3 linked regions of the Rhinolophus ferrumequinum genome follow. The protein of the gene in region 2 interacts with the protein of the main gene of each other region in a pairwise test. Links are inferred from orthologs where the notes say so. Each region holds a gene or a part of one and is shown on either strand. Other genes may lie near its edges.

The links.
Region 1: the proteins of COQ8A (region 2) and SH3GLB1 interact in binary tests that used the Homo sapiens proteins (3 or more experiments, as listed by UniProt). The link is inferred for Rhinolophus ferrumequinum from reciprocal best matches to the Homo sapiens genes COQ8A and SH3GLB1.
Region 3: the proteins of COQ8A (region 2) and TMEM239 interact in binary tests that used the Homo sapiens proteins (3 or more experiments, as listed by UniProt). The two-hybrid records come from large-scale screens. The link is inferred for Rhinolophus ferrumequinum from reciprocal best matches to the Homo sapiens genes COQ8A and TMEM239.

What each region holds. Positions count from the first base shown.
Region 1 is NC_046292.1:65,169,235-65,176,389, reverse strand, and holds the start of SH3GLB1 (endophilin-B1), read right to left. Parts: upstream 3,047-7,155; 5' UTR 2,726-3,046; coding exon 2,654-2,725; intron 1-2,653. UniProt on the Homo sapiens protein: May be required for normal outer mitochondrial membrane dynamics. Required for coatomer-mediated retrograde transport in certain cells. May recruit other proteins to membranes with high curvature. May promote membrane fusion.
Region 2 is NC_046310.1:14,681,466-14,688,793, reverse strand, and holds the start of COQ8A (atypical kinase COQ8A, mitochondrial), read right to left. Parts: upstream 3,035-7,328; 5' UTR 2,891-3,034; intron 1-2,890. UniProt on the Homo sapiens protein: Atypical kinase involved in the biosynthesis of coenzyme Q, also named ubiquinone, an essential lipid-soluble electron transporter for aerobic cellular respiration.
Region 3 is NC_046306.1:24,999,995-25,005,547, forward strand, and holds TMEM239 (transmembrane protein 239), read left to right. Parts: upstream 1-3,940; coding exon 3,941-3,977; intron 3,978-4,202; coding exon 4,203-4,271; intron 4,272-4,365; coding exon 4,366-4,886; 3' UTR 4,887-5,008; downstream 5,009-5,553. Other genes in the region: C23H20orf141 (uncharacterized protein C20orf141 homolog), read left to right, coding at 3,110-3,375, 3,478-3,652.

The sequences.
Region 1 (7,155 bases), on a different chromosome or scaffold from region 2:
GATAGTTTATAAATATTTCAGAATGTATCTCTAACATACAGATTTACTATAAAAACACATATTAAAGGAACCTGTTCCTCCTGAATTTTTTCCCTTCTTATTAAATGGTTCAAGTCAACACCTTGGGGTCATCCTTGACTATCTTCCTCTCATACCCCCGAGTCAGTCTAAGGAGTACTGGATAGATTCTGAATCTTCCCTGCTATCACTCTTACTAAGTCACATTTTGCCTGTCCTATGGCCATAGTTCCCTAACGGGTCTGCCTAGTACCCCTGTAACCTCAGAGTCTTTGCACTTGTTCCTTTTGCCTAAAGTGCTTTTCTCCAAAAAAACTGTGAACTGTGACTTCCTTGAGGTCCCCTCCTATTAGAAAGGCTTGCCCTGATCATGTCTATACAACATGGCAACAGCTGCCACCTGTGCCATTAACCAATCCCTTCTGGCCTTTTTCTCCATCACCACCTGATGTATTCACTCGTTTGTCATCTCCTGCTAGATTGTAAGCTCTGGAAGGGCAGATGTTTTGTTGATTTTATTCACTGCAGTATCACCAATGTCCAAAATAGTAGGGATAAGCAGACATGAAGTAAACACTTAAGTTTTTAAGACTCAAAATTATTCGACAGTTCACAGATTAGAATACAATTTAAAAGCTTTTTCCTAAAGAATTTGAAACAATGAGTAATTATAATTCATCTGGAAAGTAGTACATCTTGTGAGAGCTTTGCCAGATTTTAAAAAGTGAGTCTACTGACAAGCTAAAGAAAATTCTACTATGTGTACTATTTAAGCAGTGTGGATTATATACCTGAAAACGTATCTAGCTATCTAAAAGAGTGGCATTATATAGTGTAAAATCTGCATTCAGCATCTAGAATCATAGGGAATCAGCACTAAAGCAATACCAAAGGCTCTGCCTCTCTCCTGCCTCTTTTGCCGTCAACATTAAGTCTCAAAATCAAACTTAATTTCAGACTCTCAATTCACTCACTCTTCTTGTACCTTGTCTTTGAACTATTTTAAGTAGGCTAATTTAAATCAAGAAATTATTTTAACGATAAGGTTCAATGTCTTTACAATGTATCTTATATTTTAATGGAAGATGGGGGAGAGAGGGTTAAGGCAGCTAGATTCACCATGCAGATTTTAAAACTTGGAAATCAAGAACTAGAAGGAATTTCCCATTTTTTAATTGTTACTTAAGTGTTACGGAAATGCTTAGATCGGAAATGCTTAGATCGTACTAGATGATCCTGAAGGTCTCTTTAGGCTGTAACATTCTATTATTCTATATATCCTAAACCTGCAGTGTTTATCCAGGAAGAGAGAAGTGGCTTGCAATAAGTAGTAGGTCAGCAAGTACTCGGCTATTTACTAGCCATGCAAGTTAAGCAAGTTAGTTAACCTCTCTGAGGCTGCTTCTTTATATATAAAAGGAGGTTAACGTTAGTAACATCTATCTGGCAAAGTTACAGAAAGGACTGGAGATAATTCGATAAATGTCTAGCGAAATGTGTGACAGTTTTTTCACAACACAGGCAGCTAGTACCTTGTTCTAGTTCTACCATGCTTTTGCCAAGCCTAGTGCAATGTAAGATCCACTGTGCCAGTAAAATTGGGGTAATGGAGACAAGGAAAGTAGTAAAGCAATACAACTGTTTTACATTTCAGTATCCATTTGATACCCGTATTAGAAAACTTGTTTTCTCTTTACAAAGGAGAATGCTGTTGCTACTGTGACTATGTCATTAACTTAAACACCAGATCGTTTATAACCCATGTTGCGGTGAAATTTACATCTGTTCATAGATTTCACTGAGTTGACATAATGTGGGTGATGTAGGAAACTGTCCAAGTTCTCCAGTACTGACACTTCCTTGTGGGGGTCCTCGAGATGCTTAACTTTGCCCCTTAAAGTGTGTTTGAAACAGACCGCTGTGACTACAGGCACAACATAAATCTCTCCCCTCGCTCTCCTCGCCCTACTGCCGGTGCTTCCCATTTTGAGAATGAGTGGAAAGCCCCAAACTCCTTGTTTCCCCTTGGCCTTGGCAAAGTCGGGACGCCAACTGGCGATCTCCATTTCTCCCGCGGGCTGCCAAGCCCAGGGGCCGTCCTTTCATGGAGAGAGAGGGCTGGAAGGAACTGTGTTGGCAGCTCTTTGGGTTGAAGGGCAGGAAAAGGAAAAAAACTTCCTTCTTAGACTCACTCGGCGGGGAGGGCGAAAGAGAGGAAAGGAAAGAGTGGGGGTGGTGCAAGAACAGTTTGTCTCTCTGCTACCCCCGCGGGACTCGCGAGGCCTCCGCCCGCCCCAGGAGGGAGGTCACACGAGCAGCCGCGTCGGGGTCAGAAAGGCGGGCGGTGCGGTGCCTCGGCTCGAGGCCGAACCCAAGGTGTCCTCCAGGGGCGGGAGGAGACGCCAGGCTCCGTCCCCACCCCACCTCGCTTTCCGGGAGCGGAGGGTGGGCAGAAGGGGTACAGAAAACTGACGCCAGGCCCTCAGGGGCACCAGGCCGCACCCATCAGCCGGGCCTCCGGCCGCAGCTCTCCCGCCGTGCGGTCAGCTAGACTGGGTGCGGAGGCCTCCGGCTGGGCGCTCCGACGTCCCCGCCTTGGCCCCGCGGCTCACCGCCACCCGCCCAACCCCAGTACCTGTACAGCACGGCTGAGGAAGGTGCCCGCGTCAGCCGCCAACTTCTTCACGTTGAAGTCCATGATGTTCATCCTGGGCGGCAGCCGGGCGGAGCTGCCGGCTGACCTAGCGGGGAGGCGGAGGCGCCTCGGCCGGGCTGGGGCGCCGGCAGGGAGTGGCGGGGGCAGACGTGGTAGGTGGAGGGAGGCGGCGCCAGCTCCGCCGCCGCAGCTGTCGTTTCCGTCAAGGGGGAGCGAGAGGGCGGGGCGAGGGGCGAGAACGCACGCCTCCGAGCCCGACGGGCGGCGGCGGCGGTGGCCGAGAGGTAGGGCCTGTCCAGTCCCGAGGGTGGCCGCTAACGTCCCGCTGGCAGCGGGGGGCGAGCAGAAGACGAACAGACTGGCGTTCTGACCCTGTGGGGCCGGGGCCCCAACGGAGCAAGCGGGCGCCGGCCGCGGGGCGGGGCCTTTATAGAGGTTATCGCGGGAACAGCGACCCCTTCAGGACCGCCGCGGTATAGCCGCGGGGCGTGCGGGTAGCTTGGCCTGCTCCTTCCTCCCCAAGGAGTGTCGTGTTCGCTGCGAGGGGCGCGCCACAGGGCCGCAGCAGTGCTGCGCGCTTGTAGTTAAGTCCGTGAGAACCAAGAGCAGAAACAACTCAAACCCACCTCTTTATTTTAAGACAAAATATGGAAATTGTAGCAAAGAATTACAGTATCTGTGAAATAGAAACAACAGCTCCGTCATCTTGTAGCACCTGTGCCCAGCTGCTCTCTGACGCCTGGATGGCATTCGGTTGCCTATGTTTGCAGGCCCCCGCCGGGCCTGTTGTTTCTTCATTCTTTCAAAATTATTGATATCTATTGTGTACAGGACTGAATCTAGTGTTGGAGATATCATGCTGAGATAAAATTGGGGTAATCCCTGGACAAGACTTTGTCCTTGCCCTCAAGAAGCTCTCCGTTCCTTTACTTAACAACCTTCAGGGATTTCTCCATCCCCAGTGGAAGCTCTTAACTATTTGCTGCCGCCACAGGACTTGGTGACTGCCTGAAGGCAGCATGCACCTGCTGAGATACAGGACCAATCTTAGGTGCCTGCTTTGTCCAGAGTATGGTGCCTGGGACACAAAGTGCCAAGTGGGGGACACTAAGAATTATAAAATGGTGAGTGAGATAGAATAACCCTTAAAGATTCAGGGTAGTGAATTTAATAACAAATGATAATATGATGTGAAATCTGTTCAAAACCCCCTAATTCCGAGTAACTTCCTAACCAGTCTTCATGATACAGCCTATAGTTGAACTAAATTAGAACAGGTGCAAGCATGGAGAAAGACATTAGTATATCAAGAATAAGAAAACACTGTATTTTTTGTGTTGCTGTGCCCTTTTGTTACATTAGGGCTGGGAAAATGCAGGCCCAGCAGGCAATAAAATTAGCTTGGATTCATGCTTGGTTTACTGAAACAGCAACCACAGAAAGAGTGGCTGTTGTTAAAGTCTGAAAGATTAGTTCCTAAAGGTATTATAAGGAACAGCAGATAATATTTGTGTTCTTTTATTATTTATGGTGGTGACAAAAACAACCACTTCTTTTTAAGATAACTCCAATAGAATGACTCTACAGGACAAAAATATTACATGTGTCTTTCATATAAGCCTGTTTTTCCAGAAATATGGGACAGAAAATATATAATTAGTAATCTTGTTTTTCTTTTATTGTCCATTTTAGATTTATATGTGGAAAAGCACTCTCTCTTCACAGATGTCTATCTTCACAATAAGTACATTTGCCATAATCTATGTCCATTTCTACAAAAGAATCATAGCATCACATCCACCCTTATAGGAAGAAACTCTGGGTCCTCTTCTTCAAAGGTGTAGATCTTCCTGACTTGGAAGACGCCTTCACATCTTCCTGTTGAGCCCACTATAGCTGTAATACTGTTTCTCTTGTTTCACTGACAGAGTCACACGACTATAGTGTACTGCCTCAATTTTCTTATCATCTATTTCCTGCTTAATTCCACGTAGTTGACTTCCACTTCTGTAACTATACCTAAAAACCATTTTTGAGGTTGCCAATTATATTCTTTTTAAAAAGTTTTTAAAAAGATTTTTATTAAAATATAGCTAACATACAATATTATTAGTTTCAGGTGTGCACCATATATTCAACATTTATATACCTAAAGAAATGATCACCACAAGTCCAGCAACCATCTGACACCGTACCACGTTATCACAATCTTGTTGACTATATTCCGTATGCTGTACATTACATCCCCGTGATTTATTTGTTTTATACCTGGAGATTTGGACCTTTTGTTCCCCTTCACCTTTTCTCCCTTTAAAAATTTTTCAATTATAGTTGACATTCAATATTAGTTTATATTAATTTCAGGTGTGCAGCATAGTGGTTAGACATTTGTATAATTTAAGAAGTGATCCCCCTGCCTAGTCTAGGACTCACCTGGCACTACACATAGTTATTACCGTATTATTGACTATATTCCCTGTGCTTTACTTTACATTCCCTTGACTGTTTTGTAACTATCAGTTTGTAGTTCTTAATCCTGTCACCTTTTTCATTCTGCCCCAAACCCTCTCCCATCTATCACCCCAACAAATCTAGTACCCACCTGACACCATACTTATTACAAGATTATTGACTATATTCCTTATTCTATACCCTACATCCCCATAACTACTTTGTAACAACTAATTTGTACTTCTTAATCCCTTCCCCTTTTTCACTCACTCCCAACCCTTCTCCCATCTGGCAACCATCAATATGTTCTCTGTGTCTATGAGTTTGTTTCTGTTTTGTTTGTTTGTTTTGATCTTTAGATTCCACATGTAAATGAAATCACATTGCATCTGTCTTTCTCTGTTTGACACCCCACTCAGCATAATATCCCTTCGGTCCATCCAGGCCACTACAGATGGCAAGAACCCATTCCCTTCCTTGGCCAAGCAATATTCCATATATATGTATAAGCTCCTCTGTATCCATTCTTCCATCAACAGACACCCAGGTTGTCTCCATATCTTGGCCATTGTAAACAATGCTGCAATGAACATATGGATGCACACATTCCCTTGAAGTAGCATTTGGGTTTCTTCAGATAAATACCCTGAAGTGAGATTACCGGGTCCTTCTTTGTGTCTTGTTATAGCCTTTGTTTTAAAGTCTATTTTGTCTGGTATAAGTATTGTTACCCCAGCTTTTTTGTTTGTTTGTTTTCGTTTCCATTAAATATCTTTTTCCATCCCTTTACTTTTTGTCTGTGTATCTTCCAGTCTGAAGGGAGTCTCTTGTAGGCAGTATATATTGTTTTCTTATCCATTCAGCCCTCCTATGTCTTTTGATTGGAACATTTAATCCATTTACATTGAAAGTAATTGTTGATAGATATGTAGCAATTATCATTTGATTACTCATAATTTTGATTTTTCCCCCTTTCTTAAAGAAGTCCCTCTAACAGTCCTTTTAATACTGGTTGGGTGGTAATGAATTCCTTCAGCTTTTTCTTGTCTGGGAAGCTCTTTACCTGTCCTTTGATTCTAAATGATAGCTTTGCTGGGTAGAGTAATCTTCGTTGTAGGGCCTTGTTTTTTATCATGTAGAATATTTTATGTCAATCCCTTCTGGCCTGCAAAGTTTCTGTTGAGAAATCAGCTAACAGTCTCATGGGAGCTGCCTTATAAGTGACGAGTTGCCTTTCTCTTGCTGCTTTTGGGATTCTCTTTGTCTTTAACCTTTGCCATTCTAATTATAATATGAATTGGTGTGGGCCTGTTTGGGTTCATCTTGTTTGGGACTCTTTGCACTTCCTGGACTTGTATGTCTATTTCCTTCACCAGGTTAGGAAAGTTTTCAGTCATTATTTCTTCAAATACGTTCTCAATCCCTTCTTTCTCTTTTCTCCTTCTGGCACTCCTATGATGCAAGTATTGGTGTGCTTGATGTTGTCTCAAAGGCCCCTTAAACTATCCTTATTTTCTAAGATTTTTTTTTTAATATAATTTTTTGCTGCTCTGATCGGGTGTTTTCTGCTGCCTTATCTTCCATATCGCTGATTCGATCCTCTGCTTCATTTAGTCTGCTGGTGATTCCTTCTAGTATAGTCTTCATTTCAGTTATTGTGTTCTTTATTTCTTACTGGTTCTTTTTTATGGTTTCTATGTTATTTTATATGCTTTCAGTCTCTTTGTTGAAGTTCTCACTAAGTTCCTTGGGCATCCTTATGAGCATTGTTTTGAACTCTGTATTCTGGTAGGTTCCTTGTCTCCATTTTGTTTAGTTCTTTTTCTGGAGCTTTCTCCTGTTCTTTCATTTGGGACGTATTTTTTTGTTTCCTTATTTTGGCTGCCTCTCTGTGTTTGTTTCTATGTATTAGGTAGGTTTGCTATGTCTCGCAGTCTTGGCTGGGTGTCCTTATGTAGTAGGTACCCTGTGGAGCCCAGTGTCACAGTCTCCCTGGTCACCTGCACTGGGTGCTCCATGAGTTTCTCTTG
Region 2 (7,328 bases):
CTATTTCTTACGACCTTCTCTCCGTGCACACACTAAAAATAAATCACACCCAGGTATGAAGAACAAAAAGAGTTTTTCAGAGTCATTTCCAACTTTCAATATTCTGTGGGGCACTGACCTCAAAGCTAAGGGTCAAGCGCTCAGAAGCCTATAACCCCAACAACAAACAACATGCTTGTGGATAGACCAATAGATACCGTGCCACTTGGGTTCGCAAAGAGGGGGCAGAAGCTCCCTTTCAGATCCCACCCAGATGCATGTCACTGGGGGTCCTGGTCCTGCCTCTGGGCCAGCAGACCCACCCCTCCCATAGGTGCAACTCCAGAAGGAGCAGGACCTCGCACTCGCCCACTCCCACCAGCTCTCCTTTCCACTGGCTCGCCCAAGTTCCTGGCTGCTGTTTAGCAGGAATGCTGGAACTATTTCTAGATGCCACTGTCAGATCAAGACAACTCTCTATCTAAATATTCCCGTCTAATTCTGCACACAGCTCTTGTTTCAACCGACAAAGATAATGACTCAGGGTCCATGGCTCTTGGTGGAAAATTATCCTGCCAAGTTTGGAGCTTCCCAATAATAGACTTCTCAACACTACTTTTTGAGAAAGGAGAAGTGGGCTCCCTGTCCAGATCCTTTTCTCAAAGGGGCCCGAAAGACCCCCTAGCTGACCAAGGAATGTTATGGGAAAATCCTGATACATCCCCACAGAACCAACTGATTAACAAGAAAGGGAAATTTCTGGTAGGTGCCTAGGATGTGTTTCCCTTCCCTGTACAGTAATCCGTTTTTCAGCTTTTCTGCACCCCCATTCGTTTGGGACTTAGAAGTAGGGGGCATAAAATCCAGGTTACACTGAAGGCAAAATCCAGACTCAGAGGTAAAGCATCTTTCTCTGTATGAAAAGAAATGGCTCACTGTCTTTGACATTGACGCTTCGATCAAATATAAAAGAACCCCACAAATCATACATGTGTCCGTGCTGCACCACTGCACTCCTGGGGAGCCTCTCCCAAGGACGGGCACATGGTACATAAAAATAGACCTACACATATGTTTGCAGTGCAGCCGGACACCCCCTCCCTGCAGATGCAGGCCCTACCCCCTCCCACATCACAATACACAAGAGATGTCTCCCCCAAAAGTAAGGAGTAAAGCATCATCTTGGAAAAGCCACCTGTGGACAACTGAGTTGGCCTTTCTGCCAGCATTCAGACAGCTTAAACTTGTTTGCCCACTATTTAAAAACTGCCCCGTGATTATTTCATATGTATATTCCCGTAGTCTTGCAAAACCCCCAAACATAGAAACCACCAGTCTTCCACTTCTTTTGCACTCTGGACCCAGCCAGTCACTGCCATACATGCAGCAGGCACAGCAAATGTCCATGGGTTTCTACCTTCTATCTCCTTGCCGCCCCAGGTCCTCAGGTGGGGCTTTTTTACAGCCCAATCTACAGGGCTTCTGCCATCGATTTAGGGCAGGGGACACAACACTACTCCGTTCCTAAACCTCTCAACTACTCAGGGGCATCCTGGGAAGACTCTTTTAGAGTATTACCTCAGTGGTTCTCACCAAGGGCGATTCTTTCCTCTAGGAGATATTTTTGGTTGTCACAACTAATGGGGGGGAGACGGGGCTACTAGCATCTAATGGATACAGGCCAGGGATGCCGCTTCACATCCTACAATGTGCAGGTCAGCTGCCCCGCCACACACACACACACAATTATCCAGTGCAAAATGTTGATCGTCTGGAGACTGAGAAACACTCTTAGGTAACACACTGGAAAGCACCTGCTTCACTTTTTATTCCGAGTTGCCTGAGGTCAGGCCAAAAATGTAACAGCCCTGCACTGTCGGCATTATTTGCAAGGCTGAACAAAATGTCCAAAGCCATCGCAGGCGTCTTACAAGATGCTGCTCCCCTGAACCACCAGCCCCCACTCTGTGTTTTCTCAGAAGGCCCTTCCTACTAGGATGGCCCCAGATGGGTGCATGCACAGCATAACTGGCAGGCTGGCATCATGCAAACTCAAATCCTTTGGCACCGAGGTAGGCCTGGCATGCCCAGCTCTTCAGTCTTCTGTCACGCACACCCATGGCCCAAGTGAACAGTGAGCGTGGACAAGTTTTCCAACGGGCTGCAGGCCCAACCCAGGCTAAGAGAAGGCTGCACAGAAACTGACACCCCTGCACCCAGACTCGCCCCGGCAATATCCCTCATCCCCCGAGGCACAGGGGAGAACTGGCCTGCGTTTGGCAGGGGCGCAGGGAGGCTACGGAAAGGAACAAGTTTAAGCAGTTAAGCCCAAACCACTCACAAGACCCCCAGTGTTTTGAGAAGCAGGAGGAAGGGACAAAGCAAAGCGAACGGAGTGAAGGACCCAGAAGGGCCTCGTTTTTCAAGTTCACCCAAACCCCCCACCCGTGAAACCCAACAGCTGCCAGGGGAGTCAAAGCACTGACTCCAACCTGCAGCCAGGGACAGTGAAAGCCCCCGACGACAGTGCAAAGGGGTCTGGGAGTGAAGAGAAAGATTATCAGGAGAAAGCGAGACAGGAAAGCTGTCTTGGCGACCAAGAGACAAAGCATCTGGCGGCGGGTCACCGAGGCTGCTCGGCGCGCCCCGGGGCTCCGGCCGCGGCTCCCGTCCCCTCTCCGAGGCAGGCCCCGCGAGCCGTGGTGGGGATCGGGGTCGGCGACATTTGCAGGCCCCCACCCTGCATCCTGAGACGCACACACCGCGTGCCGGAGCTCACGGCCGTGACAATAGCAAAGAAAAAGCCGCGCTATCTCTTCAGGAGGATGCGAGGAGGGCCCGAGGCGGGTCAGATCCCAGCTCTGGCCGCAGGCAGACGGCGCTCCGGGCACGCGGCGGGCGGCAGCCTTACCCCGGGGCAGGAAGCTGGGATCCGCAGTCACCTTCGCGCCGCCTCCGAGAAGTCGCCGCACCGCTGGCGCCCGACACGCGCTCCGGATCTGTTTACCAACTGGTCCGCGCCGGGAGACCCTGAGCTGGCGGCCCCGCCCCACCGGTCGCTCCCATTGGCTGCGCCGCCGCCGCCGCCGCCGGCGGAACGCCGCTGGGAGCGTGTTCGGCCCGTGTGCTCAGCCCACGGCCAATCGGGACCGAGGGCGGAACGAGAGCAGCCAATGGGAGGCCGCCCCAGCGCGCAGGGCCGTCCCTTTCTGCCCTCCCCGCTGCCCTTTCCCCTAGTATGGAAAGATTGCGCCGAAGGTGCGGCTGCGAGGTGGGTGGCCCGGCGTGCCTGTGCGCCAAGAAAGGGCCCTTCCTCGCAATGAGGCGACCGCTGTGGTCGCGGTGGCCAGTCTTTTTTTTGTCACCTTCTTGCAGGTGCTCGCTGAGCCTCCAAACGGCCGTGGCAGGGAAAGCCCCGGGTGGAAGGAGCGAACGGAACCGCGGCGGGCGCGCACGGGGCGAGCACGGGGCGAGGCCTGCCCTGTGCCCGCTTGGATGTCACCAGGGCCCCTCCCAGCTTCCCCACCTGGCGCTCCCAGAAGGGGAAAGGGCTGCGAGCCAAGCCGTTGGTGTTTCCATCTCTGGCGGCCTGGCCCCGCCTACTTGTCCTTTCTCCTCTGGCTAACCGTGTTGACTTTGCGGGCGCCATCCCCAAAACAGGAAGCTCGCGGGGACCGGGACGTGCAGCCCGTGTCCCCAGGTAGGGGCACCGAGGAGGTGGCCCACGGAGCGTGCAACTCCCCACGGGGCTTGGAGAACCCAGTCGTTTGTCCATGCCCGCGAGTCTCGTCGCGGACTGTGGGGCAGGGGAACAGGCCTGCACGTGGAAGGAACCGTGAGGGCAACCTCGCAAGTGAACCCTGTAACACGCAGAACTGCCCTGGGAGGAACTGCTTCCTTCCCCCAGCAGATTTCCCTCAAATCACTCCTCTGTTTAACCAGAGAATTCAGATCTGAGCCCAGGTCTGTCTGACAGTTTCCCCTGGGGTGATTCCTAAAGGCTGGTCTGCAGCTCTGTCCGAGGTTGTTGGTGGAGCTTGTGGAAAAAATAACAATTTCGTTTTTCATCAAACTGTTCAAGCCAAAGGATTTTCCTTTCTTCTGATACTTTTTGGAATGAACATTTAACTTTTTGGAAACTTTTTAAGTATAGTTGACATGCAATATTATATCAGTTTCAGGTGTACAATATAGTGATTTGACACTTACCTACCTTAGGATGTGATCACCCCACTAAGTCAGTAACCATCTGTCACCTTGTAAAATTATTAAAATATTATGGACTATATTCCCCTTTACCTCTTTGACCCATCCCCGCACCTTCCTCCAAAACTTGGTTAATATTATTACTTAGAAAAATTAAAAGCAGCTCTATATTGATGCCTAAAATGGGAGAAGGGGACATTTATTATACAGGCATACCCCAGGTATATTGCATGTTCACCTCCAGACCACAACAAAATGAGTCATGTGAAGATTTTGGTTTCCCAGTGCATATAAAAGTTACGTTGTCGAGCATACTGGAGTCGATTAAGTGCACACTAGCATGATGTCGAAAAATGCAATGTACCTACCTTAGTTAAAAAAATATATTGATAAAAAAGGCTAACAATCATCTCAGCCTTCAGCAGGTCATAACCTTTTTGCTGGTGGAGGGTCTTGCCTCGATGTTGATGGCTGCTGACTGATGAGGGTGGTGGTTGCTGAAGGTTGGGGTGGCTGTGGCAATTTATGAAAATAAGACAGTGAAATTTGCTGCTTCTATTAACTCTTTCATGAACTGTTTCTTTAGTATGCAATGCTGTTTGTTAGCATTTTAGCCACAGAACTTTCAAAATTGGAGTTAGTCCTCTCCAACCCTGCCACTGCTTTATCAACTAAGTATAGGTAGTATTCTAAATCCTTTGTTGTCGTTTCAACAATCTTCATAGCATCTTCCCCAGGAGCAGATTCCACCTCAAGAGACCACATTCTTTGCACATCCATAAGAAGTAACTCCTCATCCATTATAGTTTTGTCATGAAGTTGCGGCAATTCAGTCACATCTTCAGGCTCCATTTCTAATTCTAGTTTTCTTGCTATTTCCACTACATCTGCAGTGACTTCCTCCACTGAAGTCTTGAACCTCTCGAAGTCATCCATGAGGGTTAGAATCAACTTCTTCCAAACTCCTGTTAATGTTGATATTTTGACCTCTTCCCATGAATCACGCACACATATTCTTAGTGGCATGTGGAACGGTGAATCTTTCCTAAAAGGTTTTTAACTTGCTCGCAGGGTTGCCACAAACCTTCAATTTATAAATAAATAAATATTGCACCCTTCAATTTATAAATAAACCTTCAAAAAAATAAGTAAATAAATAAATAAATACAGGGCATGCCTGTCCTGCTTTAAGTACACAAGTTTCCTATGACACTTTCAGAAACCACTGTGTGGGAAATGCTGGATTAGGCGATCACGGGCGGGGGAGGGGGTCCCCCTTTCCCTAAAACTTTTTCCTATTTTTAAAAACTTTTGAACATTTCATTGATTTCAATCTTTCATTAGGTAATACATTCACATAATTTTAAAAAACAACAACTATTTTTAAAAGGTTTGCAGTGAAAAGTCCCTCCCTACTCCATCATCTCTCTCCCACCCCACTTCCCAACCCCGATGCCCCCACATCCTTCCACACAAAAGTTTCTTGTAACCACTCTAAAGTTTCTTGTCTCTTTTCCAAGTTTCTTTATACATACATAAGCAAATACAAATATACACTCTTCTGTTTTACACAATGGTCATACTCCACTGTTTTTGTTTTCATTTAATGACATAGCTTAGAGTTCTTTCCACGTTTGCCCATGAGAGCGTCCTCATTATTTTTTTCAGTATTAGGTTATGTGGACAAACCATAATCTGTTTAACCAGTCTCCCGTTGATGGTCATGAGGACGGTTTCAATTCTTTTGCCATTTCACCCGTGCCTCAGCGAATAATCCTGTTTGTTTTCAAAATGTGATTCATTTCGACCTAGACAAGACTGAGTTGGCGAGAACAGTGGAGAGAGAATAGTGTTGGAGAGAACAGTGCCAGTGCAGAGTACACACGTGTCCTCGATGTGCTCAGAGGCCTTACATACATGACTCATGGGCCCCAAGACTGATCATACAGCCCCAAACACCCAATGGTGACCATTGCAGGCCACAATCTCAGGAGGTCACCAGACTCGGGAAAATCCAATCCAGTCCTGCTAAGAGAATGACTTCAAGGGATTCCCAGGCCTGTTCAACGAAGGCAAGACTAATCACTGTAATTAGCTGACTGCACAATTAGAAGTGATTAAGCCCATTACAGAAGAGGCTGAGCTCCCCACAACAGGAAATATCCCCTCAGCTCATTAACAATGTCTGCTGCTTTTCTCTCCGTTTTCCTTAGCCTATGTTTGCAACATGTGTCTGCCTTCTCAATAGGGTATTATTTTTCCTTCTCAGATTAATTTCTTTTCAACACAATGTAGCAGATGGACAAGAGCCAAGTATGCCAAATCATTGGCTTAATTTTTCTATTTTGAAATTGAGATCTAATCTGTGCAGTAAAATGCACAGATCCTAAGTCTACAATTCACAAGTTTTTACAAACGAATAGGTCATGTAAACAACACCTCAGTTAAAATAAACAACACTTTTTTATTTCCCTCCAGGAAGTTCCTTCATGCCCCTCTTTCTAATCACCTCCCACCTCACCCCAGGCAACTGTTCTAAGTTGATTTCGATAAGGAGAAATAACTGATTGTATGACACGAATTAGGAAGTAGCACCCTCGGAATAGAAAGAGTACAGAATTCATTCTCTTGTCCTTAAATTCTTTGTGTGTGGGGGAAATCATCCCAGTTGCTGAATATGTATTTTACTTTTTTCTCCCTTAGACTGTTACTGCATACTTTAAATTTTTTTTTAAACTCACTTAAATTTAGTAGTTTCCAGATGAGCTGAGCCTAATTATACATCAATATCTTGCATCACTTCCTTCTGAGATACCCAGAACCAGAGATGAGAGAGCAAGGTTGTAAATGGAAGTTTAGAAAAGAGAGAACTGGGTGCCCAAAATAGAAAGAACCCTCCGCAGGCAGGACTGCCATCAAAGCAGGTAGGGGCTGCAAGGAAAAGAATTTCAACTTACAAGTAAGGACAGACCAAGGACACACACAAGATACCTTTTTGCCAATGACCAAGGATGTTGAAAGTCACTGTGAACTTAGTAATAAAAGTACCGGAGGGCCTGGCTCCCTTGGGTGAAAGAAGCAATTTCTGGAAGAGATTACGAGGCATAGACCTACAAGTCTGAGAAGGGCAGAATGTCCCACTG
Region 3 (5,553 bases), on a different chromosome or scaffold from region 2:
CTGGGCCTATCCTGCCGCTCCCCGGTGTGGTCCAGTGGTTGGGGGTGGAGAGGATACATGACTTTGGCGCCACACTGGCTTAATTTCACATCTGCCATCATTTATTTTGTTTGTGTAACCTTTGATAGTAATTTCACCTCTTTGAGCCTCTGTTTCCTTATCTGTAAAATGGGAACGATAGTATCTTCCTCCCAGGATTGCTATGATGATGAAATGAGATAATATGTGGTTCCAAGGGGCCCTGAAATTAATCTGATGAATTAAAGGTGGAGAAAACAGCTTAACACGGTGCACTTGTTCTCACATACATGGATGGAATAAAACAAATCAAGAAAAGAAAGGAGGCTATGTGTCTGGCTTCACAAATAGAGAAGTACTAGTGGAATCCACTACCTGCCTGTGCGTCCTAACCTCCTGTTCCTGGTGCTGAGACAGAACTCACTACCCACTATGTGTTTTCCTTATGATGCAGGTGAGTATTGATGGGGACTCCCGTGGCACCTAGATGCACAGGGAGGTACCTCCCACATGTCCATCCTCCCTTCACCATCATCTTCCCCAGCTGTCTCTCTTTTGTACATCAATGTCTTTTAGAGCTCATTCTCAAAGAGTGGCCAAGGACCAACAGCATCAGCATCCCCTGGGAGCTTGTTAGAAATGCAGAATCCCTGACCAGTTCCATCCCAGGGAAGTCATGTGCACATTGAAGGTTGAGAAGCTCTAGTTGGAGGTTTAAAGCCTCCACTTAAAATGCATAAGATTCACAGCTTTCTGAGTTTGATGGTGTTTGGTGCTGTCACTGGAAATGTTATCTCAAGCCACAAGAGTACATCCACATAACATTAGGAAATTGGCATTTCACTCGTCCTGGGAGGGTATATTCTTGATCTCAACAATATGAACCTACATTGATTTGCTTTTTTATTTTTAACTAAATCATTTTTATCAAAATACTATGGAATATAATTTTAGGGGTAAATTACATTTAGGCTTGTAATAGACTTTTCTATGCTTCTCCATTCCCAAGTCAACCATTTTAAATGCTTTTTGTTATTTTTCCTTGTACTTACTTCTATGCTTCTATTGCTGTTTCTACGCTTCTATTGCTATTTCTTGATGTTTAGACATTATCTGTGGAATTCCTAATGTGGAATTAAGGATTTAGCTTTCTTATCACCCTTCTACCCATACATACCCAAATACACAAACATACACTTCCCCTCCTTCCATTTTCCCAAAAGAGCTAAATCACTGGATTCTATATTCAGTGCTTATATTATGACCATGTAAATATTATTGTTCAACTTTGTGTAATAATTACTTTGTAATTCTTTCTTTGTAAATATTTATTTGTAATAATTACAAAGTAATTACTTTGTTTTATCATTTGCTGGGTCTTAAAGGCACCAATTGCTAATACAATTCTAAGTTTCCAACAGAACTGAACATTTATTTTGAATATGTCTAAAAACAGCAGATAATCATTTTATTTTCTTCTGGAGACATCCCTGCTGGGGATGATGAAGTGATCCAAAAGCATCTATCTTTTGATTCCAGGATGAGTTGCTTGTTTTCCCACCTGGGAGCACAGCTGACATCCCAGGCCCTTCTCATCATACCTCTCCTGTGTTTGGCCTCATTTCTTAAAACCCATATTCTCTTCTTTCTTAATTATTTGTTTTCCTGAAGTACATCCTCCAGTAACTTTCTAAGAAACAGTGCATGCAAGGTCAAAATTTTGAGACCTTGTATGGTTTAGAATGTCTTTATTCTGCCCTCACACTTGGTATGCATTTGGGCATATATACGTTTCTAGGTTGGAAATCATTTTCCCTCAGAATTTTGTGGGCATTTCTTTATTGCTTTGGCAAGAGCCAGAGCAAAGTAATCAAAGAATGGTCCCAAGGGTCAGTGGCATTAGCTTCATGGGCTGTTGAGCCCATCACCACCAAAGATATCAACGTTGCCAAACTTGAGTCTTTGGACAAGGCCCACTGGAGATAGATATGCAGCCTGATTCTCACTCTGTCTCCTCCTCTCCTAGCAGCTGTGTGGCCACTGTCTTCACTACCTGCCCCCATCAGTTTTCCTTCAAAATATGATATGTGGACAAGGATTAAGTTCTCTCATTTATGACCCATTTCCATTCTTGCCTCTCAAGGCACTAAACTAAGATGTGCTGGAACTTCTGGAACCATCACCCAGTTACAGACTATCAGTGGGGGTAGGTTTCTTTCCCAGACGACCAATCCCTTCATTACATGTTCATTTTCCTGAATTTCATTCTCAGAGGGTAACCTTAACCTCCAGTTTGGGGGTTACTATGTAGTAGCCCTCTTACGTTCATATCCTGTATGCCATTTCTGGAATCCCAGTATCTGGAACACCTCCCACAAACCATGGTACTACTTAGAATGCCTAAATAGCCCCGTCTTGCCCCATTCCTATGTAGCAGGTCACATGGGAGCCCAGCCACAGAAAGCCTCAGGTTTGCTTCCTGACAGAGTCTATCTCTGTATCCCAGGACTGTAATACTGAAAAAAATCCCCCACAAGAGCTCACAGGCATCACCCTACTCTCAGGGAAGAGAGCATTAGACAGGAAGATTGAATAACTTGTCCCTGGACACACAGCTCTGGGAACCTGCAGGAAAAAGAAAGCAGCCCTTCCTCCTTTGGTCAGCTGCCCATGTGGTGATGAGGTTAGATGCCTTCTTGGCAACACAGATCCCCAAGGGAGGGCCCTAGGGCAGAGAATTAGCAGAGGCAAGAGATTGAGTCTTGGTTCTCAGAAATCACTGACCTCCTCTGGCTAAGCCCCAGCTGCTTATGAGGCCAGAACCAGCAGCAGCCACTCCCTACCTCAGGGATCCACCTGGCAAGAGGTCACAATGCCCCAGCTGTCAGGCCCAGAATGGCTGACCTAAGTGGGAGGAGGTGAGAAGGGCTGGGTGGGTGAGCGTGTGGGGAGGGGGAGATTCCCCATGAGCCCCATTCCCCACTCCCTGAGCTCACCCTTGAGTGATTTCCACCCCTTCCCACTTTCCCACCCCACCCCCATACTCCCTCCCAGGAAACAAAGCCCCTTCCTGTAACCTCCGCCTCCCTCCATGACCCAGCTCTGCTCACTCAGGCCCAAAGCCCTTGCTTATCCTATCCCTGTCCCTCCCAGGGGCCTGGGTGCTGGAGAGGGATCGGGTCATCCAGTGGGTCCATGTATGTCCTCTTTGGACCCTAGTCCAGCCCAGCTCATGGACAGTGTCCTAGGGCTGGGGGCACTGGGGTTGACAATTTGGGCAGTCTTTTCCTCGGCTGGCCCAGCCTTGCTGCTGCTGCTGCTACTAGTCAGCTTCCTGGCCTTCGACCTACTCCACAGGTAAGTGGGCAGCAGCCTGGCAGATGGGCAGGCATGGGCAGGTGAGGAAGTGGTCAATCTCCCAAAGCCCGGCTGCTGCCCTCTTTCTCCACAGGCCCTCAGATCCACCGGGCCACAGCACACACTTCTCACAGGGGGCCTGAGTCAGGGGGCTGGTGAGGGTCCCAGATGGCAGGAGGCTCTACTCCTGCCGATGGTGGCAGTCACAGGACAACTCTGCCTCCAGGAAGCTCTGCTCCTGCTGCTCCTGGGCCTGGGGCTGTTCCTGGGAGCCTGAGGGGTGCCTTTGGCCCTGCTTGGCCTGGCTTTCTGCCTCCATCCTTGGGCCTGAGTGCCCTCCAGAAATACACTGGCCATAGTGCTGCCTCATTCCTCTTTTTCTCCATCGTGGGCTTGGCAGGGTGGGAGGGTAACCCATTGTCCCCAGGGGACCTCCAGCCCCACAATGTGAAAGCAGCCATAGAAGGTGAGATAAGGCACAGGTTGCCCAGTGCGGGAAGTGATAGCCATCTCAGAACCTGCAGATTGGGGTTGGCCATTCTGGCCTCCTCTGTGGTTCTAAAGAATGAAGGTCCAGAGAGAAAGACTTGCGAGAGAGCAGAGTGTGACTGGCTATCAGCCAGCAGGGAACAGACAGATATCCAAGAGGGCTTCCCACAAGAAAGCATGACAAACTACGTCTGTTGACTCCCCAGGCTCCTCTGCCAGCCTGAAGGGTCCACAGAGAAGGGCTTGCATGAGGCTCGCACCCTGCAATGGCTCCTTTCTTGGCTGGACCCCACCCTAGACCAGGTCACAATGGGCTCCTCTGGGAGGGTGGAGATGAGGGAAAGAGGGGACTCATCTCTGGCTGCCAGGCCGTCCTGGGAGCTACAAGAAGCAACATGACTTAGGTGGCTTTGCCCAGAGGTAAGACCCAGTCCCCAGCTCAAAGCCCCACCCCACCCACACTGGTGCCCACCTGACTCCTGCACCCACACCTGCCCTGAGGTCCCAGACATATCCAAGGCTGCTTCTGCAGCTGGCCTGGCCTCTCCCCAGGTGCACCAGCCATGATGCAGCAGTCGCAAATGGAGACAGATGCCATCGGGGCCGGTGAGGGGCCGCAGCGGGCGGTGCCCTGGTCGGCCTGGGTCTCGCGACAGAGTTGGCTGCGCTGGTGTGCATCCCACGTGCCCCAGAGCTGGACCCACTGGTGGGCCACATCCAGCTGGCGGCAACCACTGCAGCGTGTGCTTTGTGGTCTGGAAGGGATCCTCTACCTGCTGCTGGCACTGATGCTATGTCACGCGCTCTTCACCACGGGTTCCCATCTGCTGAGCTCCCTGTGGCCTGTGGTGGCTGCAGCGTGGCGACATCTGCTGCCCGCCGTCCTGCTGCTGGTGCTCAGTGCCCTCCCGGCCCTGCTCTTCACCGCCTCCTTCCTGCTGCTGTTTTCCACGCTGCTAAGCCTCGTGGGCCTCCTCACCTCCATGTCTCACCTAGGCCACGCTCAGGATTTGGACCAATAGAAGGGCAACCCCATCCCGCTGCTTGTGTCTGTTGAGCCCTGGCCTAGGGCCTGAGGCCCAGGGGAGAGGGAGGGCAGTGGGATCAGGGCCTTCCTGCCTTAGCAGGCTCAGACCCCCGGTCCCTAGCACTGGTTGTGGCATGCGTGCTGTTGCTGGAGCAGGCAGGGTAGACTGGCCTGACCTCTGGGCACCTCCCTCAAGCCCATGCTACAGGTACTGGGTGTGGAGGGCCAGGGGCTTTGAGGAGAGGGGACAGGGAAGAAGGCTTAACTAGGGGCATAGTTAGCCAAGCCACCAACAACTCCCATGTGGGTGTGGTGACACCACTGGGGCCCCCTTAGCAACTAGCGGCATCTTTTTCTTGCAGCTGTCTCAGCTTCAGACTCATTGAGAACTTCTACCTAGGTACTCCTGGACTTGCCATTCCTCCCACCAACCGCCTCTTTCCACTTGCCCAGGCTCTAGAAAGGGCCCACTGACAGAAAGCTAGCTGGCAGAGGACTGACCACAAGCCCCATGAGATCTCAACTAGTTCACCTCCCAGATCTTTCTGCCCAGGCATTTCCCCACTCCCTAGACGTCCTAGCTCCTGCCTTAGTCTACATCCCCAAATCTGGGAAATGGGCCAAACAGTATAATGAGGTTCTCAGAGAGTACCTACTCTTTA